Linked DNA regions of Daphnia pulex. The protein of the gene in region 1 binds, or shares a complex with, the protein of each later gene. Links are inferred from orthologs where the notes say so. Each region holds a gene or a part of one and is shown on either strand. Other genes may lie near its edges. The genes, in order: corepressor interacting with RBPJ 1-like and histone deacetylase 3-like.

What was found.
Region 2: corepressor interacting with RBPJ 1-like (region 1) and histone deacetylase 3-like share a complex: the UniProt entries of both Homo sapiens proteins name them as parts of the notch corepressor complex. The link is inferred for Daphnia pulex from reciprocal best matches to the Homo sapiens genes CIRSR and HDAC3.

Annotation. Positions count from the first base shown.
Region 1 is NC_060018.1:10,168,482-10,172,292, reverse strand, and holds corepressor interacting with RBPJ 1-like, read left to right. Parts: upstream 1-1,343; 5' UTR 1,344-1,435; exon of another isoform or gene 1,436-1,439; intron 1,440-1,504; 5' UTR 1,505-1,589; coding exon 1,590-1,661; intron 1,662-1,744; coding exon 1,745-1,839; intron 1,840-1,907; coding exon 1,908-2,158; intron 2,159-2,229; coding exon 2,230-2,390; intron 2,391-2,464; coding exon 2,465-2,556; intron 2,557-2,625; coding exon 2,626-3,013; 3' UTR 3,014-3,095; downstream 3,096-3,811. UniProt on the Homo sapiens protein: May modulate splice site selection during alternative splicing of pre-mRNAs. Regulates transcription and acts as corepressor for RBPJ. Recruits RBPJ to the Sin3-histone deacetylase complex (HDAC). Required for RBPJ-mediated repression of transcription.
Region 2 is NC_060018.1:1,203,398-1,207,325, reverse strand, and holds histone deacetylase 3-like, read left to right. Parts: upstream 1-1,447; 5' UTR 1,448-1,535; coding exon 1,536-1,602; intron 1,603-1,665; coding exon 1,666-1,789; intron 1,790-1,932; coding exon 1,933-2,034; intron 2,035-2,108; coding exon 2,109-2,303; intron 2,304-2,364; coding exon 2,365-2,498; intron 2,499-2,567; coding exon 2,568-2,680; intron 2,681-2,742; coding exon 2,743-2,849; intron 2,850-2,914; coding exon 2,915-3,063; intron 3,064-3,132; coding exon 3,133-3,274; intron 3,275-3,334; coding exon 3,335-3,433; intron 3,434-3,504; coding exon 3,505-3,577; 3' UTR 3,578-3,629; downstream 3,630-3,928. Other genes in the region: 40S ribosomal protein S15Aa, read right to left, coding at 479-572, 633-798, 859-991; protein SET-like, read right to left, coding at 3,748-3,912. UniProt on the Homo sapiens protein: Histone deacetylase that catalyzes the deacetylation of lysine residues on the N-terminal part of the core histones (H2A, H2B, H3 and H4), and some other non-histone substrates.

The DNA.
Region 1 (3,811 bases):
CCCTCCCCCCTTAAAAAAGTGACCCGCCAGTGAAGGAGAACATGACAGTGTACAGGACACATTTCAGGTCTGACCTCTCTTCCTACTGTTATAGTTGGGAGCCGACAAAGTTTAGTTCAAAATTGCCATTATAGCAAATTTGAAAACATACCCCATTTCGTTGTTGACTGTCACTTCCGACTATCACTCGTTCATACAAAGCAAGAACACATATTTTTGGAAAGAAATATTTCCAGCAATGTGTTTACAAGTTTAAAATAAATAATTTCGCAGATGATTGGAAAGGCAATTAGCAAAAAAAAAATAATAATAACAAAACCAAAAACGTTTGAATAATAATTTTTAAGCGTTGGTTGGTTTTTATGGCTCGCGAATATCAATCGTTGTTTAGGCATTAGTATTAACGTTCTCTTAAATATGGATTCTTTCTTCGAGTCAAAGATATAATAAACAGCGGAAGTTTTGACCGCCAGCCAGGAGTGGGGGAGGGATATATCATTAGCATTTTTCTGCAAGAATTTACCTGGATCGACTGAAAGAGGGATAGAAAGTTCCGGATTCGTATATGCAGAGAAACCTAAAAAAAATGATCTATTCAGCCTTCAACACATTTCTTGATTGATTATTCTGATAGGTTCTGCTTATTTGTATTTTTAAAACGGGCAGAAACTTTTCACACCTTCTCCTATACTGAAAATATAATCACAGCACAGCGATAAACAACCATTAAGTCCTCGTCCTCGTTTAGTAGACGTATAGGCGCATTTTAGTACACTAGCTACCGGAAGCTCATATCCCTGCAGAACTTTCAGATAATAAAGGAGAGTACGATTTTTATGGCTCCAAGGGAGCAGAGGAAGTTTTGCAGTAAATTCAATATTTAATGCGGTTTGATTTAGTGCAATCATAATTATGTGTGTTTTCTTATTTCTACCTTTTCCCTTGATTTCTCGACTTACGAATCGTTTAATGTCGTTCCAAGATGAAGCAGATTTAATACGAATTCGTGGCTATCAGGTGGCTGTGGATTTATTAAGATGAGAAACATCAAAATACTGCAGACAAGTGAAAAAAGATAAAGAAAGAAGAAACATAAGTACAAAAATCAAGTAAATTATTTAAAAAAAATAAATTTATAAAATTGGAAGGATTAATTTGCTATGGTAACTTATCTTTATTCTGATCATCAATCGAGATTTCGGATTACATTACCATTTATTTTTTTATCGTTTATTTTTAAATTAATTTTGTTGAACTTATACGCAGACGTGGACGTCTGGACGAGCGTTGGATGTATCATACGTCATCTAGCGATCAGAGTTTAAAGTGGATAAGAAAGGTTAACCTGGGAAAAATTCAAAAAATGTGGCAACATCGCGTTTCGCGTTTGTTTTTACTTGTAAACCGTTGTAGACGAAGACTTGATCGTATCATCGTAGGTTGACGCAACTGATTTGTGTGTTCTAAATTTTTGGAAAATTCTGACTTACTTTTTACTTTATAGTGATTCATTTGATCTATTGTATCCTTTTGGCTTTGAGTACCCTCCATTTTATCCAGCGGCGCTACGAATTTGAGGAAGCTGAAAAATGGGCAAAGGATTCAATAACTACATGTGCAAGAAGTTCTTTCACCCTGGATCTCGAGATAACTTGAAAAGGGTATGTCCGACCGTGTGTCAGTTTAAGATCAGTTGTAGAATATGTAATTTACTGTGTAAACTATTTGAATCATACATTTTTAGGTCTGGATGGCTCAACAAAAGACGGATGCAGAGAAGAAAAAGCAGGAAGAGTTGAAAGCTCAGTATGAAAAAGAACAAGATTTATACGTCAACAAGTAAATCCACAACAAAAAATTTAAATATAATATCATTTATATTAACTGATACTTTTTTAAAAATTCAGATCACTTGTCAGCAAGGAAAGCAAGGAGAAGCTGAGTGTCAATTTTCTGTATGAACCACCACCAGGAATGAAGAAAGAAAGAGAAAAAGAAGATGGGGAACCAGAATTCAAGTTTGAGTGGCAGAGAAAATATAATGCTCCACGTGAAGATTATTGTCGTGGTGATGAGGACATCAGGGACCAACCTTTTGGTATTGCTGTCAGAAATGTTCGTTGTATCAAATGTCACAAATGGGGACACGTAAACACAGGTAATATTTAATGTAACTGTGTCATTAAATTTTTTTTTTAATATTTCAAGATTGATTATTTGAACATGTAGACAGGGAATGCCCTTTGTTCAACAAGGCTAGAGATGCCTTTGATGAAGCCATTGCAGCTGCTGATCCTTCTGAGAAGTTGATGAATGATATGAAGGAAACTGGTTTGGCTATGACCAAAAGTGCTATTAGTACTTTAGAGCAAATGGCGGTTCCAATGCAGGTAATAAGTGCAATGCAAACCTGTATTTATTCATTTGTTCTGAGTTCTGACAGTGCTTGTCTTTTGAATTTTAGAAACAATTATCCAAGTCTGAGGAGGAGCCTGCAGCAGAAGAATTGACATTTCTGAAAACTTTATCAACCAAAGAAAAGAAGAAACTACTTAAGTATGTGCTTTACTCATCACAAATTCTCGTGTTAAATATATCTATAAAGTTTAATGGTTCATGAATTAGGAAGCTGGAAAAACTGGAAGACAAGGAAAAAGGGAAAAAGAAGAAGAAGAAGAGAAAGAATGAAAAGAGAGAAAATAGAAGTCCACCTCCATTGACAGCATCTTCTTCACGGGTTCTAAAACTAAGAAGCAGAAGTCCACTTCCATTGACAGCATCTTCGTCGCGGAATGAGAGACGCCGAAGTAGAAGTCCGTCTCGGTTGACAGCATCTTCCTCCAGGGAGGATGGCAAAGGTTACAGAAAAGTCCATCAAAGCGATGGCAGCCGTAGTCCCAAACGGCCTCGTAGCCGTGATAGACGATCGCGATCCAGAGAAAAAGAACATCGAGAAAAGAGAAGACACGAAGAATCTGACGAAAGAATGAAGAGGAAAAAATACAGAGACTAAATTTTTTCAGTTGCAGTTCGCTGTATTTTTTAAACTTTTGGAATTGATTGTATTCCGATCTAATAAAGATTAAACAACCTCATTGATTTCAATGTTTTTGCTATTTTGTTAGGTATTTAACTTTGACTGTTGATGATTATTTATACTTTGATAAGAAAACCCGTTCAATGAAGATACTTAAAGAGAAGAAGCCGTGCAAGTAAAATTTTTTTTTATTTGATCGCGTTTTTAATTTTCACGTTAAAGTTTTTGATACTTTTGTAGTAACTCCTTAAGCGGTTTATAGCGGCCTTATGTTTATAGTACAGTCATTTTAGCATTTTAACCCAAAACAAATTGTTAAAAGTGATTTTTTAATGAGCTTTATTTATACCTATGTTTTCTTACTCTTTTTAAAACCCGCCCAAGAAAAAATAAAGTGATCATATTTAAAAAAAAATGTGTTTAAAAATTTACCTTATGCTAAATGGTGTTTTTTAATTAAAAATTTGGTATTTTAAAATTCAGGGTTAAAGAGAATTGCAAAATTAACTTAAGTTCCAATTTTGGTTTAATTTCAATGTAACTTAGTATTACAAAAAAAGTAAAATCTATTGAAAAATCGGTGAGCCGTCTTTGCGCGTTTTAACATGGCGCTTATGGGGAAACGAAAAGTTTAAAAATCTCTCCCGTTTCTAACCTAAACGACCTCAAATTACAAATTTAGTCTCGTTTTATTCATTTTTTCTTCTACTTCAAGTTTTATTAGTTTTTTGAAGGCGGGACCGATTTTTCTGTAAGATTTTCATGTTTTTATAG
Region 2 (3,928 bases), about 9.0 Mb from region 1:
TTTGCTCACGTCACGAGTTCAGTGCAAAGTTTATGGCCGATCATTTCCAGTTTCTTTCCTGAACACCTTACATTTTCTGTGTAATGAATGACTAACTTTAATTCGTCCATTAGTGAACATAGCAACGCTAGACATAAATGCAATGATCTTAACTATATTGTGAACCACTTCCACATTCACTTGCATTGGACATCCTAGTAGCAAACCAAAAAAAAAAAAGAAAACCTAACCAACCCATCAAGCACTTGATCTGTAGTCCCAGAAAAACACATTGTTTTCGATTTATAACACTAATGAAACTTATTAATTAAATAATGAAGAACCTTACCACACAGCCAAAATTAACCTCAGCTGGAGCATTCTCACCACTAACAGTCCTCTTAACAAGAGAATTGATTTTGGATATGTGGTAAGGTATGCAAATATGATCTTCCAGAATGTGTATTGACCATCATGTGTATCAAGGCAGCCAACAGTTTCAGAAGAAGAATCCCAGAATCTTTCCTCCTACATGTTTCCTCTTGGCTTCTTCATGATCCATGATTCCAGCTGATGTGGTCATAACAACATACCTGAACAAAATATCTTGATATAGTTAACTAAACAACATTTGTGCTAGTAGCTTTACATACCCAAACTGGCGAGAAGGCAGCAAGTCATTTGACCATTTCTCAATGTCCCTGATAGGTACATCAAAACGAGGAGAGATGACACCACACTTGTTCAGACGTCCTGTCAGATTGACCACAATCTTTCCGGCACGGTGATCATCAACGATTTCGAATTCACCGATGTAACCTAGGCGAAAGAATCATCATTTAGAACATATTATAATTACATATTTTCGTCCACGTTTACCATGTTTCATCATGACCGTCAAAAACTTCACGATAACTTTGGAGCACGGCCGAATGAGGACCTGGCGTTTGCCTCGCTTTTCTGCGTTGTTGATGCTTTTCAAGGCATCGGCCAAAACGTTCATGCGCACCATTTTGATATAAAATCACACCTAAATAAAGGAGAAGACCGGTTGAAGTTAGTTGTCATTAAGGATTCACAAACCAACACTTTCAACGAAAGCAGTAAAACTTTATAATAAATTACAGCAACAAAATAGAAAGAGACGATTCAAAATTATTACTATCAATGGAAGATGAAAATAATTTTCACTCGATATAAATGGATGAAATAAAAATTACCTGGCTTCCAAGAGGGAACGAAGGGGCGCTCACACACAAGTGAAAGAGAAGAAGTTGTTCCACGGCAAAGCTCGACGAGATTTTGTTGCCAGATTGCAAAGTGTCATCTGAATTCTCTTATTATTTTTTAAAGGAAAAATTATATTTTATTATCGTGCTCCAAATCTTTATTTAAATTTTATAATTTTGTATATTTACATGATTTAATATGATTTATTAATAGAACCATTTATTTTAGTAAAAAAAGTTGCAAAATTATTGTTTCATCAGTCTGCCACTAGGAGTGGAACGAAAATAAGTAAAAAAAAAAAATCCTGTGATTACAAACAAACAAATATGGGATTTGGAGCTAATAAAGTTGTTTCTTATTTTCATGATCAAGATGTTGGAAATTTTCATTATGGTATGATCTTTCTTAGTCCAAAGTTCGAACAAGTGATCATGTAGTTTTTTAATGTTTTCACAGGACCACTCCATCCGATGAAACCACAAAGGTTGGCAGTAACCCACAGCTTGGTTTTACACTATGGAATGTATAAAAAAATGCAAGTTTACAGACCTTACCGAGCATCAGCCCATGACATGTGCAGGTAACTTTGAAAATTAGTTACTTTTAAGACAACTGTTCTATTTACTCCCTTTCACAAAATGATTGATCAACAAAACAACAAGTGTCAACATAAAAAATGGATTTGACATGAAATAATGTAAAATTTGTACTCTGTTAACACAGGTTTCACTCAGAAGACTATATTGAATTCCTACAAAGGGTTTCTCCACAAAATATTCAAGCATTTAGTAAATGTTTGGGTCAGTTTAATGTTGGTGATGACTGGTAATTAAGATATATACATATATATATTTTTTTTAGGATAATCTTTACAACCTTATCTTACTTATTACTTACAGTCCTGTTTTTGATGGACTATTTGATTTCTGTTCAATGTACACTGGAGCCTCACTGGAAGGGGCCACCAAATTAAATCATGGAAGCACAGACATTGCAATCAATTGGTCTGGAGGACTTCACCATGCTAAAAAATTTGAAGCTTCTGGGTTTTGTTATGTAAATGATATAGTGATTGCTATATTGGAACTTTTGAAGTAAGATTGCACATAATATCCAAGGTTACCACTTAAAAAAGATGCCTGGTTTTCTATATAGATATCACCCTCGTGTTCTGTACATTGACATCGATATTCATCACGGGGATGGTGTTCAAGAGGCCTTTTACTTGACTGATCGAGTGATGACTGTTTCTTTTCACAAATATGGAAACTATTTCTTTCCTGGAACAGGTCTTTTTCAAAATGTCTAGAACTAACTTAAACAGAATTGATCAAGCAATATTTTAACTAATTAATTAGGAGACATGTATGAAATTGGAGCAGAATGTGGTCGCTACTATTCCGTGAACATCCCTCTAAAAGAGGGCATTGATGATCAAAGTTACCTTCAAGTTTTCAAACCAGTTATTCAGGTACACAGATTTTCACTGGCATTGAAAGAAAGGAAACATTTTATTTTAATTTTTTTCTCCAGTATGTGATGGAGTTTTACCAGCCCACTGCAATCGTTCTTCAGTGCGGAGCTGATTCATTAGCCAATGATCGGTTGGGATGCTTCAATCTCAGTACAAAAGGACATGGGTACTCTAGTTATTCCACGATTCAGCTTTTAAAGCGATTGATTAACTTTCATTCGATTTTTTCAGAGAATGTGTAAAATTTGTAAAAGATTTCAACGTTCCTTTGCTTGTACTTGGAGGTGGAGGATACACTTTAAGGAATGTTGCTAGATGCTGGACGTACGAAACTTCGTTACTAGTTGACGAAGGCATCAGTAACGAACTACCTTACAATGGTAAATAACATAACTTGAATTGATTTGGTTTATTTGTTCTCTAAAATGAATTTTACCTTTTTGGTTTAGAATATTTCGAGTACTTTGCTCCCGATTTCTCGCTACATCCCGACGTTGTAACGCGCCAAGAAAACGCGAATAGTAAACAATATTTGGAAACCATTACTAAAACTATCCATGAGAATTTAAGGATGATAGAACACGCTCCTAGGTATAAATACATATCCGTATCCAAATTCATCTTATAACGAATGTTTTAATTTCTATGCAGTGTAATGATGCAAGACGTTCCACCTGACCTTTTAAATTTCGAGGAAGCGGAAGAGTTAGATCCTGATGTTCGTCTGCATCAGCAAGAAGAGGATAAAAGGTAAGCTCCTCCTAAAATGTGAAATGCTAGAATATTATTACTAATTACTTTGTATGTTTCAACATTCACAGGATAGAGCCAGATAATGAATACTATGACGGAGAGAAAGACCAAGATAAAGATGGCACGACAGCCGATTCCTAAAACTTCCAATCCAAATTTCACCTCGTGGAATAAATGCCATCTTAAATTGTTACCGATTTTCTTTTATTTAAAAAAAGGCATTGCTCATTCTCAGTCTGACTCGCATCTTTTCGGCACATTGACATACAATACAAAGTTTTGGATCGACGCAAAAAAACGGCATCACATGATTAATCAGTGTCGTAATTTGAATCTCCCTCGTCAACTTCCCCACCTTCTTCATCCTCTTCGTCTTCTTCATCGTCAACATCGCCATCATCATCGCCTTCCTCTGAAAGGGCTTCAGGCATCATGAAGAACTGGAGGGGATTCGGCCAAATTTCATCCTTCAGAATCTGTTATAAAGAACAT